Cricetulus griseus: one gene and its partners. The protein of the gene in region 1 purifies or fractionates together with the protein of each later gene. This does not show direct contact. Links are inferred from orthologs where the notes say so. Each region holds a gene or a part of one and is shown in the gene's direction. Other genes may lie near its edges.

Region 1 (5,651 bases):
TGTTGCTCTTGCAGAGGACCCAGGTTTGATTCCCAGCACCCACATGGTGGCTCACAACCACCTATAACTCCAGTTCCAGGGGATCTGATGTACTTTCTGACCTCAGGCATCAAACATGTGGTATAACAGATACAGACAGGTAAAACATGCACACATAAAAAGAATAAATCTAATTTTAAAATCAATGCAAGTTGAGAAGATGGTAGTGAGCAGGACTAAAATTACATTTGTAACCTAACAACAGTGTGACATCCCATTAACTTCGCCTTGTATTGGTTAGAAGTCAGAAGTCAGCTGCCCATACTTAGACAGTGCTAAGAGGCAGGGCTCATTGGGCCTTCCATGTCTGCCTACTAGCAACTACCAGCTGTTAGAACTTGCCTCATGTGGGAGCTGGCACTGGCTTTATGCAGCGGACAGTGGCATTAGTAACTGGAGGGACATGGAATTCTAAAGACTTTCTCTGCTGTCCTCAGTTTAACAGGGGTTGGCTGCTTATACCTCCCATGGGTAGTGTTGGCTCCTGTGTACTTGGCCATTTTGAGAAGATGGAGGAGTTTCTCATGGCCATGGAATAGGGCTCTTGAGTCTTAGGGGTAGCCTGAAGAGCTTAAATGGGTTCCTAACTAAATGCATCACCTCCAGTCAGATCTCTCTGAAGCCAACACCTTTTGCTGGACAGGCTGAAGGAGCTGGGTGTATCCATACTATTCTAAGCTTCCTGTTTAATTGCTCACCAGTGGGAGATGGAGATTCTGGAGACAAGGACCTCAGCTCTGGTGGCGATGAGGCCCCTTGTAGGTTCTGGCTGATGACCAGAGCAGTGCCATGGTCCAGCACTGTGAAGTTGAAGTGTCCGATCAGAGTTGCACTAACCCCAGCCTCTCTTTGGGCTGCAGGCACTGCTACTTGTTTGGAACCCTTTATCAGCTTCCTCCACAGCACATCGTCTGGTGCCGCCTTTTTTTTTTTTTTTTTTTTTTTTTTTTTTTTTATAGGCTTTCATGTCTGAGCTAACCAGTGCTTCAGGGGTCCACGGATCACAAGGGTTCTTTGGTCCTGCATAAAGGTCACTCTGGTTCCCTTCTCATTTCAGGGAGCCCTTAGCATACTGCATTCGGGACTGTATAGCAGGCCATCTGTCAGCTTGCGGACAATGAGTGCCTCTCTGGGTTTCGGGTTCTGAGCACCACCACCGCCATGGGTGGCTTTCTGCAGGGAAATTTCTTTGCTGCCCTTCCCCTTTCCAACCTCTTAGTCTTCCATGTCTCCCCAAACCCTACTGAGTTGCCAACTCCTCCGCCCGCCTCTTTTTTCTGTCCTGTAACTCCTAATCTAGTGCTCGGCCACTCCCCTCAAACCCACTCTTGGTTCAGCTCCGCCCCTCATCTAGCAACCCGCCCCGCCTACCTCATCACGCTCTCTCCCCGCTCCCTCCAATCAGAGGCTTGGTTTGCCGGAGAGGGGCGGGGTCATATCGTAGGGGCGGAGATTCTTAGCAAGTTGGCAGAGGCCCGGCATGCTTACAACCAGGCATTGGGAAAAATGACGCTTCGGCCTGTCAAATCTGCGGATCCGGCGTGGCCTCTCTTCCGTCGGCATGACGTCACAGGACGCAGGCGCCGCGGGGGTTGCCGGGACGGGCCCAAGATGGCTGGGCGCTTTGGTTCCGCTTCTGCCCGCCGCGCAGATCCCCATTCATTTCCCCGCTGCTAAGTGGCGCCGCTGAGGGCGACTAGGCTCCAAGCCTTCGGGGTCTGTCCCGCCGGGCAGGAGGCCGTCATGGCAACCCTGGAAAAGCTGATGAAGGCTTTCGAGTCGCTCAAGTCGTTTCAGCAGCAGCAGCAGCAACAGCAGCAGCAGCAGCAGCAGCAGCAACAGCAACAGCAGCAGCAGCAGCAGCCGCCACCACCACCACCGCCGCCGCCTCAGCCCCCTCAGCCGCCGCCTCAGGGTCAGGCGCCACCGCTTGCACCGCCCCCACCGCCGCTGCCCGGTCCGGCCGAGGAGCCGCTGCACCGACCGTGAGTCCGGGCGCCGCAGCTCCTGCCCTGGGCCGCTCCCCTGGCCTGCGTGCTGGAGACAGCCAGCGCGATTCCCTGCCCAGAGAGAGGGTCGCCAGTCCTCTTCCTGGCCCGGGTCCTCGCCTTGTGGGGGTCTTTAGCTTTCCTCACTGGAGGCAGAGCCTGGTCAGGCCTGCGGCGGACTCGCCGAGGGGCGTCTCGCCCCCAGTGCTTTCGCCCTTCTTAGCTTGTGAAGTTAGGGAGCGAACTTGTTTCTGTCTTCGGGAGAAACTGGGGCTGTGGCTCACATGACTCCAAGAGAACTTGGAGAGGGCGAGACCTGTCTCCCGGGTCGCCTCCTTAGGTAGGCCTAGATGCTGGGAGCGCAGGACAGCGCGAGTGATGTGCGGATAGTGGATGACATAATGCTTTTAGGAGGCCTCAGCGGGAGTGCTGAGGGTGGGGGAATGTGAACCATCCAAATTGGATATTCTTTTTCCAAGTGACACTTGAAGCAGCCTGTGACTTCAGGCGCTTTATATTCTCCTGGTGTTTCGTTTAGTTCATGTTACAGTGTAGTAACAAGGTTTTAAGCATCACTGGAGAGGTATGTTTCTGTATGCTCCTATTGGCCTGCAGGTAATTGGATGAACTGTGGTTGTCAAGTACATGATGAGTTACTTAGGTGTGATTATTAATAAAAATTATATGTCTCTGTGTCATATATATATATATGTGTGTGTGTGTGTGTGTGTGTGTGTGTGTGTGTGTATGTATGTATGTCGATTGATATTTATTGCCTATATTTTCTGCTGGAAATAAAATGGACATGTTGGTGATGCGCAGTTTACATCAGGGAATGATTTTTATCAGTGTTACAGTCAGACTTGTTTTTAGAACATGGGCCACTCTGTGTGCCAGTGAAAAAAATTCCTATTTAATTCTTTGCTGACATCTTGTCATCCTTCAGAAGCTTGCTGCATGTGACTGGTGAGAATATTTGAAACAGAAGAGAGACCATGAATAACAATAGTCTTAAAAAAGAAAATGATGATCAAGACATTTCCTGGAAGTCCACGATGAGTGTTCAGCCCTGTACTTTCTTGCAGTTCAGGCCTTTCAACTGGACATTTTATTTCTAATGTGGATTTCTATAATTAATAAGGAGAACTTTCAGGAAACAACCTACTGAAGAATCCCATTATTAATCCTCATTTAGGAAAAAAATTGTTTTGTTGCTGGGAATTTAGCTTAAGGCCTCACACATGCTGGGCAAGTGCTTTACCACTGAGCTATATTCCCAGCCTATTTTTAGTAATTTTTCTTGTTCTTGTGCTTCTGATAGGATCCTTTTTGCTGCCCTGGGAATCTAGTTTTTTGTTGTTGTTTTTTTTTAAATGAAGATTTGGGGAAAAATGTTGGCTTATTTGATAGAATAAAATATAGGAATAAATTTTTCTTCTATAAGGTCAAAGAGGGTTTGAGTAGAAAAATCTTTCCCTTTAGATAAGTAATATATTTTGAGACAGTCTCACTGTGTAACTCTGGCTGACCTGGAACTCACAGATATCTATCCTCCTGCCCCTGTCTCTTCAGTGCTGGGATTAAAGGCATGTGCCACCATGCCTGGCTGTATAAGTATTTTCTAATTATTAGATTCTTAACACGACTCTGTCTCTCTGGGTGTTAGGAATTGTGCAAGTTCACATATTCCTCATATCTTCTGTAAGGGAGGGTTGGGGCGGGGTGGGGTAGGGTGATTTCTCTCCAGCTGCTTCAAGCACAAATTCAATCTGTTTTTGCATAAGTAATTCATTAACATGGTCCAGTTCCAAAGTTAGGAAAGGTTAAATAGTAAAACATCTCCCTCCCCATTCTCCTGAGTGCCTAACTCTGTCCGCAGTAGCAAGCACTGTTACTCATTATGTGTCCTTTCAGATAAAATCTGGGCATATGTTAGGACAGATTTTTAAATTATTTATAGACAAAAGTAGTTTGGAACGAAAGCTTTTAAAAGTTTTAAAACCTTGTTAGTTCACTGTATAGCAAGAACTAACTGGAATATTTCCCATAATCAGCTGCATTAGGCTTGTATTTATTTTAACTAAAAGCATATATCTCCTGTTTCTGTATACTTTGCTGTTGGAAAAACAGGTGTTCATTAATGATAAGTAACAAACATACTGATTGGAAGCTTCAATTTTGGCATTTTTGTCCACTTGCTTCAGTTAAAAGCCCCCCCCTTCTTTTCCTCCAAATTGAGACCAGCCAAAACAATTTTAGAATAAATCTGTTCTATTTTTATGGCTCTCATTGTGTTACAGAGAACTAGTGTCACAGCCGTGCGTGGGCTTCTGTTGAAATAGCTGAGAGCTCCTTTCTCTGATCAGTGTATAGGATGCAGGAGCTCTTTGGGACTGGCTGTGGGGGGTCTGATGGGCCTTAAGCAGTTGACATTCACTTTTAACCTTTTTCACTCTTCAGATTCCTACCTCATTTTTCCTGATTGTAGTCATTCATTTACCAATATTTGCTGATCATCTCCTGTTTGCCTAGCATTATTCTAGCTGCGGATTTTAGCAGGTAACAGTTATGTTCTCATGAAGCTAAAATTCTAGGGAGGGATATAGTAAGATAGTATCTTAATAAGTGATGAGGTACAGTAAAGTAGGGAAGGGAATTAGGAAATGCCAGGGCTTAAAGTGTTGTTTTAGACAGGATGTTTAGGTAATATCTAGTTGAAGACTTTTTGGAATAAACATTTTTAAAGAGTCAAGAATCTACTAGGAGGGTGTATGGAAGAGTAGTGTTCCTGCAGGGAGAAGTTGTCAAAAGCTTTCTTGAGTGGGGATTAGTGATGACATTTTTTTTCTGGGTGGAATAAGTGAGGGTAAGTGTTGTTGGGGAGGGACAAAGGGTAGAGGAAAGCCACATTGGTGTTATCAGTTATTGCATTTGGCTCCAAATAGAAAACCTGGCTACAGAAGCTTCAACAGGCAAAGGCAAGAGTTTATTATAAGATAAACTAAGTCTAGGAAGTTCAATAATAAGATCAGGAACCCGTTCTCCAAGTCCCAGTCTTCATTCTTGCACTTTTTTTTTTTTTTGTTACATGTCTTGTTGATTTATAGCAATTTCTCATGTTCTGGGTATTATTCCCTTATCAGATATAATTTGTCTTTTCATTTTGTTTATTTTTGAGACAGGAGTTTGCTATGTACCTCTGCCTGATCTAGTATACTATATAGCACAAGTTGTCCTCAAAACTTGCTGTGGTCCTCTTGACAGATACTGGCATACTATAGATATGCCCCTGTAGTGTATGACATGTGTGTAGTCTGTGTTGAGTGGTGTATAGTGTATATAATGTGTGTGGGGTATGCAAAGGCCAAAAGAGGATGTTGAGTGTCTTCCTCTATTGTTCTCCATGTCTTTGATTGAACCTAAAGCTGTTGATTTCTTTGAAGCTGGCTGGCCAAAACACTGGGGATCTGCTTGTCCCTACCCACCACAGTGAGATTTACAGGCATGCCTATAGCCACACCCAGTTTTTGCATGAATGCTGAAGAGTTAAACTCAGGATTTAGGCTTGTAAAGCCAGTACTTTTACCCAGCTCAGTTCCTTGACTCACTTCCTTTTCTCTCTCC
Region 2 (4,965 bases), on another chromosome or scaffold:
TGTTTTATGGTAAAATTTGAGAAATCCTATTAATCTTTCTCAGTTGCATCTTTTTCTTTAATATGAAGATTATAGGCAATCTAATTTTCCCATAAACTTAGTTTACTTTCTGACATGTAAGAACAACCCCAATACATAGGTATGTTCCAGAAAGGTCAGTGTAGTTGTTGAGAGTTTGATATTAATGAAACAGAAAAGTTGGAGACTGCACATGATCAGTGATCATTTTCTCTGTAGCATATGCAGTTAGGACACTAGCCAACCTCCAGACACATTTTATTTAGGCTGTAGAGTAAAAATGGGAAAAATTGACAGTGGAATTTGTTGAAGTTAGTCAACAATTGAAAATTGTAGCTTCCAGAGTCCTACTAAATCTTGGTATCCTTCATCTGAGTTCTTTATGTAGTCACTTGGTTAGCCATTATAGGAACTTGGAAGTGTGTATAGTGTAGGGATTGATTTCATTTTTCTTTGTCTTTAAAGGAAACAACCCCATGAGTATTCCAGCAGGTGGAATAACAACAGATCAGCAGCCACCAAACTTGATTTCAGAATCAGCTCTTCCAACATCCTTGGGGGCCACCAAGTAAGACTAAAGATTCAAATAGATCGTTTCTGAAGAACAAGTGGGTATAAGAATGGGTGGGAATTATACAAAACTCCACATGTGGCAGAGAATGAATGGGAATGCATGCTATTTTTTCTTTTCTCATATTTTTAAAGAGACAGGAAAGAGCGGGAGGGAGGGGAGAAAGAGTCCCACAAGGGGGTGTTGGATTCCATGGAACTAGAGTGACCAGCTGTTGCGAGCCATTGATGTGGATATCTGATCCTCTGAAGGAGAAACAAGTACTCTTAACAGCAGAGCTGTCTGTCTAGCCTCTCTTTCTTTTTAAATGATAAATGTAAAACAGAACCAACTAAACAGATTGAATTCTGGTTGATATACATTACTTGTTTCTCTTAAACATTTTAAGTCACATATTGTTGAAGAAGGTTGAGTGTATTTGATTGATTCACTTGAGTAGCTGGATGAAGTGTTCTTATTTCCCTCTCTAGTCCACTAATGAATGATGGCTCGAACTCTGGTAACATTGGAAGCCTCAGCACGATACCTACTGCAGCACCTCCTTCCAGCACCGGTGTTCGAAAAAGCTGGCATGAACATGTGACTCAGGACCTGAGGAGCCATCTAGTGCATAAACTGTACGTTACCCTCATCAGTCAGATTCACATTTTGTGGCTGAGGCATTGTTGAATCTTTATGGGTGCATAGATGTTTGGTTTTGTTTTTTCCTTTGCATGTTGAATCCCAGTTTATAGCTCTTAGCTGCAAAGGGTCCATGCTTGTTTCAGAAACCAATCCCCACTGTAGAGAGTCCTAGGAAGGCTGAGTTTCCCAGACTCTGGGCCCTATTGTATGTTGGCATCAGACAGTTAGAGACGTGACCGGAAGCCTACCTATCCTCTTTGCTTTTGAGTTCACGTGTGTTCAGTTACTTAGGACTAGTTATAGAGTTCCCTAAAACTTGGGGGAAATTTGGCTCTGGTGAATATGTATGGTATGACCACATAGTTATTTTACATACAGAAAGTAATGTTTCAAACTACCTCTCCTAAGTTGAAGTGAATCAACTATAGATTCTTCCTTATTTTGATCTGTTTACAATGAACAGTTTCAAAATAGAGATTTGGAATCATACTTTTCATAAAATGATATAACACATTTGTGATTATTATGTAGGTTAAAGGTTGGTATTGTTTCCATTGTTCATGCACAAGGCAAAGAGAGTTCTGCTGTGACCACTTTGAAAGTAGGTTGATCTAGTATATTGTCCTTTCAGTGTCCAAGCCATCTTCCCAACTCCTGATCCTGCAGCTCTGAAGGATCGCCGAATGGAGAACCTGGTCGCCTATGCTAAGAAAGTAGAGGGGGACATGTATGAGTCTGCTAACAGCAGGGTAGGTTGTCAAGCAATTGTTGAGCCTATAGGTGGGAAATGATATTTGTCTAGTTCTTTACCCATAATTAGGAGAATCTGTGTGATATAGGAGACTCCTTACCTTGAGACTTTGAACAGACATGTCCCAGTAAGGATGAGATTCCTGTACAGCCCTTTTGTGAATGAAGCACAAATATCATAGGAGGACAGAGGATGCATTAGATAAAGTGTATGTACCCTTGGGTCATCTCTTTTCACCGTGGGTATTCTTTAGGATTCTTCTATTATATTATTGCCAGTATCAGTGAATACCCAAGAAAAAGCTCATTTGTGCAGAAAAAATAAACAACTGTATTTAGCACCTTCGACTGGTCGTATCTAGTAAAGTCACTAGTTCAGTAAAGTGGAAATTAAAGGGTATGCTGACATCACTAGGAATTTGGGGTGGTGATTCTTTGGTTTATTAAATGTGTCGAACCTTTGTTAATGTACTTAAAATGTGCTTAGCGGTATAGTGCCTTCTTAGGCCCTGAGTTTGATCCCCAGCAGCAAAATGTGAATGTGTGAATAAATGAATGAATAAAAAGAGTTCATTCATTGCTAGTTAGAACATAAAAATAAATGACTGGTTCTTAGATTTTTCAGTTCCTTAATATTGAATATTATTGCTTTTTTAGGATGAGTACTACCATTTATTAGCAGAGAAAATCTATAAAATACAAAAAGAACTAGAAGAAAAACGGAGGTCACGTTTACATAAGCAAGGCATCTTGGGTAACCAGCCAGCTTTGCCAGCTCCTGGGGCTCAGCCCCCTGTGATTCCACCAACTCAGTCTGTGAGACCTCCAAGTAAGGACTGTATTTCTTTTTACCAGCTCTTAGCCTGCCTGCTTAGTTTTCCTTCTGTCTTTGGGGTATATGTCTAAGAATGTACAATTGTGTTCTCCAAAAGTCTGTGCTTTGGAAGCTTTCTGTATGGCAGTGTCCTGTGAGGACATTGAGCCTCCCTCATAGGAAGATTTCTTTTTGTTTTCTTCATTTTTGGTTGTTTGAGACAGGTTTGCTCTATAGAGCACTGACTGTCCTAGAACTCACTCTGTAGACCAGGCTGGCTTTGAATTTAGAGATCTACCTACCTCTGCCTCTCAAGTGCTGGTATTAAAAGGTGTGTGCTACCACTGCTTGGTATAGGAAGGCCTCTTAAAGGCTTTGCTGCTAAGTTATTGGGTTTTTTTAACTTGTTTATAACTCCCACCCCCCTTTCAATTAATTAATTTTTTCTCCCTTGTAGATGGGCCACTGCCTCTGCCAGTGAATCGAATGCAGGTTTCTCAAGGTATTTATTGTCAGCCGTGTTTTACTTTAACTTTCAATGTTAGCAAATTATCCCCCATTTTCCCTTTTGTTTTTTTTTTTTTTTTTTTTTTTTTTTTTTTTTTTTTTTTTTTTGCACTTTCCATTCTTTTCTGATAAGAACATAGTCCACTAAATAATTCCACTAAATAATGTTAGCCTGTTTTTTAAAATTTGGAAATTAGAGGAGCTTTTTCCAAAGAGGTCAGAAATAGGATTTTGGACTAGCAACACCCCCCCCCCCAGAAAACAAAAACAAACAGGGGAGACATTATTAGGAGATTATAAAAAGAGCCATATTTTAGGAAGGAAAAGGCCTTTCTGAATATTCAGCCTGAGAGTCTGTAACCCAGTTGGTTTCAAGTACTTGGGGACTCAGAAGGTACAGTGCTGCTTCAGGCCATCAGGATTGAAGTTGCTGAGTAATTATCAACCACAGGAGGCTGTGTGCATAGCTCCATGCCTGGCTGGAGTAGTGATAGCTGTCTAAACCATTAATCGCTCAATTCAAGATTCTGTGGTCATTTGGAGTAGATAAGGCTTCAGGGCTAGGGGGTATTTGTACGCTCTTTAGATCTTGACATACTGAGACTTGAATATCAGGGTATTGCTCCAAGTTGTGAAATAAAGTGGGGACATTATCCAGATGGTAAAGTAAGGCATTGCAGTTTGAGAGGGACAGGTAAGTGATTTGAAGTTGTAACAGTGTTATTGAACACTGAAACAGACACTGAATAAACTTGCCAAGAACTTGTTTGGATGTATTAGATTTGAGGGGTAGAGGAAGTCAAGTGGTTAAGAAAATTGAGCCATAGCAGTGTAGCTAAATGCTTATGGGTACATGGACATTGATCTAGATAGGGAGCCACAGTTGAGCTGGGATCTGACAAGATAACTAGTTAGCTACAGATGGTAAGAGACATTCTCTGGGTCAGTACTTGCCAGACTTTCTTGCTGGCAATATCAGTACCTAAGAATGTGGGTTTCTTTCAATGCTGTTTCTCAGTATCTGCACAAAATTGTCATGGAGAGGAGACTTTTATGTTATAAGCTCCCTGGAAAGTCCACTTGGGCCTTATTGGAATTTGGCCATTTGAAGGTGGCAGTTTTGGACAGTCACTGAAAGTATAAGAAGATCCTCTTGTGAATATAGCAATGGTGAGGCAAGGTCTCTCAAAAACTTTAAAGAATTCTTTTATATTACAGTGTTGGATAGAAGAACAACTTGATTTTTTTAGAGCCCACAATTTGCTTAGTTTATAGAAAGTTACTATGAACTAGTCCCTGTAATCTGAAAGATACTTCCCAACAGAGCCTTTGTTATTGGTGTGTTTCAGCAAACAAGTGGAGGCTGAGGGTAGCCTTTGGGCACTTACTACTGAAGCTACTTGCAAAATTGAGATGCTCATTTGAGTCTTAGCACAGATTCTAACAATAGTATCTACGTAGCCAAGACGCTTGGAAGCCTGGAATAATGTGAGCTAATTGCTGCTAGGGTTGTTAAGTGGGGGTGCACTCAGGTAGTCTTAGGAAATATCTCCTGTGTAGATGGGGCAACCTCATTCCTTCACAAGGCCTCCTTGTCTGCTTCCATGCTTTACACACATTAGTTTGGTTTGTTCCAACCTGTCCTCATGTCATCATCTATTCCCTAGCTCTCCCGACCTTC
Region 3 (4,154 bases), on another chromosome or scaffold:
CCTGTCCTTCCTGTTATCCCTGTGGTGTCTCCAGTCACTCTGAGCCTTCAAACAGAACTCTGTTGAGAAAGACTTTCTTGGATCTGGAGCGGTAACTCATTATGAGGCATTTACCTGATATACATGAGGTCCTCGGTTCAACCCCTATCGTTACGGGAAAAAAATCAGACAGACATGTCCTTTGCAGGCAGCTCTCTTTGCCATACTTTGCTGGGAACAGATCGTGGGGTCCCACTGGTCAGTCACTTAGACCCCTGTGCTCACAGCAGGTTGTATTCTAGGAACAGATGGAGTCTGATAACTGCTCAGGAGGAGATGATGACTGGACACATTTGTCTTCCAAAGAAGTGGACCCGTCCACAGGTGAACTCCAGTCTCTACAGATGCCGGAATCAGAAGGGCCAAGCTCTCTAGACCCCTCACAGGAAGGACCCACAGGGCTGAAGGAAGCTGCCTTGTACCCACATCTCCCACCAGGCATGTGGTCACCAGAAGTTTCATTTTCCTTTGCTTTCAGAGTATCCTAGCCCAAGTCTGGTTTTGGTAACACAAAATGGGGTAGCATGGCCTAGGTTTTTTTTTAAATGGCAGTACCTAGTTGTGTAGTGCAGGGTAGCTTTGGGATTGTAGGCTTGTCTGCGGCACACTCCTTGGTGGGGCTGTCAGTTGACATCAGAGAAAACTAGAAGCTGGTCTGACCTCTTCTGTTTGCATCCAGCAACAGTAACCTCATCTCATTTTAAGTATTTCTAAATCTCAATACCCAGATGTTCTGAGAAGGCAGATGTTACAGGAAAGGCAACACTGGTTTGGGCTGCTTTGTACCATGAACTGAACTCAAACCCTACACACCATTTCCTCAGGGGGTTGCAAATTTTAATGGCAAGCACCACAGTCAAGGCCCTAGTAGAAGCCAGGCAGAGTATGGAAAATGCTGGACAGGAGTGGCTAATCCCAAGTGTACACCCTGCAAGAGAGGCAGCCTGCTCCCAGGCTAACGGTGTTCAGGTGGCTAACTTTTCTCCGGGCCAGATTTGGCCTTGGGGCTTACAAACTTATTTTGTGCATGAGAGCCAGAGGGGCAGCAAACTGGTGCATGAGAGTCTGGGAAGGGGCTGTAATCATGAGTTCAAGGCCATCCTGGCTACACAGTGAGACCTACCTCTGTATCTCCATGGCAGACTGCTTATCTCACTTGCAAGGCTCTGGACTGGAGTCAGACTAGAGCAGGGGAGCTGAAGAACTGGCTCATCCAATAAAGTGCTTGCTGTGCAGGCGTGGCAACTGTGTCTGTAGTCCAGCATGGCAGAAGGCAGACAAAATCCCTTCACAAGCTGGCTAGCTAGATAGACAAGCTGGAGTTGGCAAGCCATGAGTTCAAGTGGGGAGCAACAGAGGAAGACTCCTACTTCAGCTCTGGGCTGCCACACCTTCACACATGCATGTACACCTACATAGGAATATAAGTACATACGCCAAATAACAACAGAGGGTGAGGAATCAGAGGCAGTTAGAGGAGATTCACGATTCACATTTTATTATCTTTAAATGGTTTTTATTTGGGTTGGTTTTGCGATGGTGTCCCACTGTTGCCCAGGATGTCCCTGAATGATCTTCCTGCCTCCTCTTCTTGAGTGTTAGAACTACAGGCTTGAGCCACCACATCTGGCAATAAACTTAATTGGAAAATAACTGCACTCATTTGTTTACATACCTTCTGGCTGTTTATGCTACAATGGTAGAGTTGAACAGTTGTGACAGACTGGAAAGCCTACAAAACAGGGCTGTTTGGCCCTTTAGCTGGCCTCTGAGGGTTCTTGTGAGGCCTAAACAGGGCAGTCTTCCTGGCAGGCAGGACTTGCTATGTTTGGAGTGCTGCAGGGTGCCTGACTTTCCTGTCTGTTTTGGCAGAGGCTGATCCCCGACTGATCGAGTCACTCTCCCAGATGCTGTCCATGGGCTTCTCTGATGAAGGTGGCTGGCTCACCAGGCTCCTACAGACCAAGAATTACGACATCGGAGCTGCACTGGACACAATCCAGTATTCAAAGCACCCTCCGCCATTGTGACGGGCTTGTGCCGAAGCCCTGTGACCCACCCCCTTTGTCTTGTAGTTGCATCAAGTAGAGCAGCAGGGCCTCAATAGGGCCAGTTTCTTAGCATTCTTCCAGAATCTACAGGTGGGAATGTGTGAAGCCTTTAAAGCAGTAGGAGAGTGACATGAGGGGACAGTTCCAAGAGTGTACATGCTGACGCCTGAGAACAGACCCAGGTACTTGTGGCTGAGCTTCCCTCTGCCTTCCCTGAGCCTGGCCTTTGCCAGGGAGCTGCAGAGGTACACTGCACTTGCTCTTACCGCCAGCATTGCACCAGCAGTCAGAATTCTTGTCTGATGACCTTCTGTGTTTTCTTTGTTAAAAGTGATTAATACACTGACAGTTATTTTCAACAAATAAAGCTATTATGTTAAGAGGGGGCTGTCCACAGTAAGTCAAAGGTGGCGGGCATTTGGGGCCTCTGGCTCCTGGGGGATGGAGAACTCTTGAAGTCAGCTGAAGGGTCTCACCATATACTTTTTAATGATTCACACTTAGTTTTCGTTCCAATGTTAATGCTTTTAAATGAAACCCCATGTAGCTTTCTCTGACTTGATTTCTAAATGACCTGTAATTAAGTGGCATATGCACTTTAACCAACCCTGTGGTCCTTATTATTGTTGAACAAGAAAAATCTGTTTGACAGGCATATTTATTTGTTCGGGTTATTTGTTCTAAAGCACCTCCGCCTGTGGCATGGAGGACCCATTACATGAGTCAGAGTGAAGGTTACAGGTCATCCTCAAAGTCCTCCCCAGTTGTAAAGAGGTTGTGCACTGCTGGGGCCTTCTGTGCCCCTTGAGCCAAGGGCCTACCATCTGCTTGAGGAGTCCCCATGGCCCATGGCTGCTCTGGGGTCTTCCTGCCAGGCCCCTCTGGCTGGGGTGTGGTAGCGGGAGTGGTTTGAGGGCGCTGGACAGTGTCAGGGGCCCTGCTGAAGTGGCCTTCCCCTGGAGTCTTGGCATCAAGGGTCCCTTGCTCAGCTTGTGTTGGGTCAGCTAGCCTGGTGCCCTGCAGAAATCTTGATGGGTTCTCATCCACATGTGGGCTGTTTCCAGGTGACAGCAGAAACCGTGCCCATTTAGAAGATTGGGCCTTGACCTGCAGGACAGGACTTGGTAGTTTCCATCTAGGAAAACCAAGCTCCCTGATGTGGGTTGCAGCCCCGAGGGCAGAGCTGCCAACTTGTCGCTCTGTCCCTAACAGGCCAGTGGAGTCCTGAAAAAAAGAGAAAGGGTTCTGTTCAGCTTGGCAGGACTGTTGGCCAATCCCTGCAGGCTAGGGACATGCTGTTACTGTGAGGTCTAACAAGTCCGTTTCTAAATGCCCCTACCTTACCCTGATCTGATAAATCCCATGACCACATTTCTCCCATAAAGGAGACACCTTGAGTGAGCCATCTCCTGGGATGCTTTGGGACAGGCCAGCAGTCCCCATGAGGAGGTGTGAGCAGGGAGGGGCCTATACTCCACTACCTAGAGATGCAGTTAGTTCATCAAGCCTGTTTGGTCCCAGCTAGGCTGGAACAGCTCTTCAAAGCTGGACTGAGGGTCAGGAGCCCAGGTGGCTGCACCGAGGTCTCTGGGAGGTGACAAGGTGCTGAGCCTGGCTTCTTCCATTTCAGAAACCAAAGACACACAAGAAACTGGGTTTCACTGTTTACAAAGGAATTTGACAACACTGGATCTTGCTTCCTGACTGCCCAGATAATGCTAAAAAGACCATCACCCTGACTATTGATCTTGGCTCCACTGACATTGCTGTGAACTCACTGAAGTTTCAAAAGTCTTAGTTCCTCTAAAACAACAGACTGGTGAAATTGAACACTGAGTGTTTGGTCTATGGTGTGGTCCATGGTAAAGTCTCTGTAACTCACTACCATGATTCTGAATCAATGGAACTCTTACCTACTGGATCACTAGTTCAAGAAAACATTAAAAATTGAATTCTGGGTTGGGTGTGGCAGCACATGCCTTTAATCCCAACACTTGAAAGGCAGGGCAGGTGGATCACTGTGAGTCCAAGGCCAGCCTGGTCTACAGAGCAAGTTCCAGGACA

The links.
Region 2: the proteins of Htt (region 1) and histone lysine acetyltransferase CREBBP purify together in Homo sapiens (affinity purification with western blotting; 5 studies listed by BioGRID and IntAct, with this or other methods). This does not show direct contact. The link is inferred for Cricetulus griseus from reciprocal best matches to the Homo sapiens genes HTT and CREBBP.
Region 3: the proteins of Htt (region 1) and Sqstm1 purify together in Homo sapiens (affinity purification with western blotting; 4 studies listed by BioGRID and IntAct, with this or other methods). This does not show direct contact. The link is inferred for Cricetulus griseus from reciprocal best matches to the Homo sapiens genes HTT and SQSTM1.

The regions. Positions count from the first base shown.
Region 1 is NW_023276807.1:103,746,399-103,752,049, forward strand, and holds the start of Htt (huntingtin), read left to right. Parts: upstream 1-1,782; coding exon 1,783-2,024; intron 2,025-5,651.
Region 2 is NC_048600.1:42,538,917-42,543,881, forward strand, and holds part of histone lysine acetyltransferase CREBBP, read left to right. Parts: intron 1-483; coding exon 484-586; intron 587-1,059; coding exon 1,060-1,206; intron 1,207-1,844; coding exon 1,845-1,962; intron 1,963-2,620; coding exon 2,621-2,792; intron 2,793-3,234; coding exon 3,235-3,279; intron 3,280-4,965. UniProt on the Homo sapiens protein: Acetylates histones, giving a specific tag for transcriptional activation. Mediates acetylation of histone H3 at 'Lys-18' and 'Lys-27' (H3K18ac and H3K27ac, respectively).
Region 3 is NC_048600.1:64,656,456-64,660,609, reverse strand, and holds the end of Sqstm1 (sequestosome-1), read left to right. Parts: intron 1-281; coding exon 282-477; intron 478-1,911; coding exon 1,912-2,069; 3' UTR 2,070-2,745; downstream 2,746-4,154. Other genes in the region: Mrnip (MRN complex-interacting protein), read right to left, coding at 2,826-3,314. UniProt on the Homo sapiens protein: Molecular adapter required for selective macroautophagy (aggrephagy) by acting as a bridge between polyubiquitinated proteins and autophagosomes.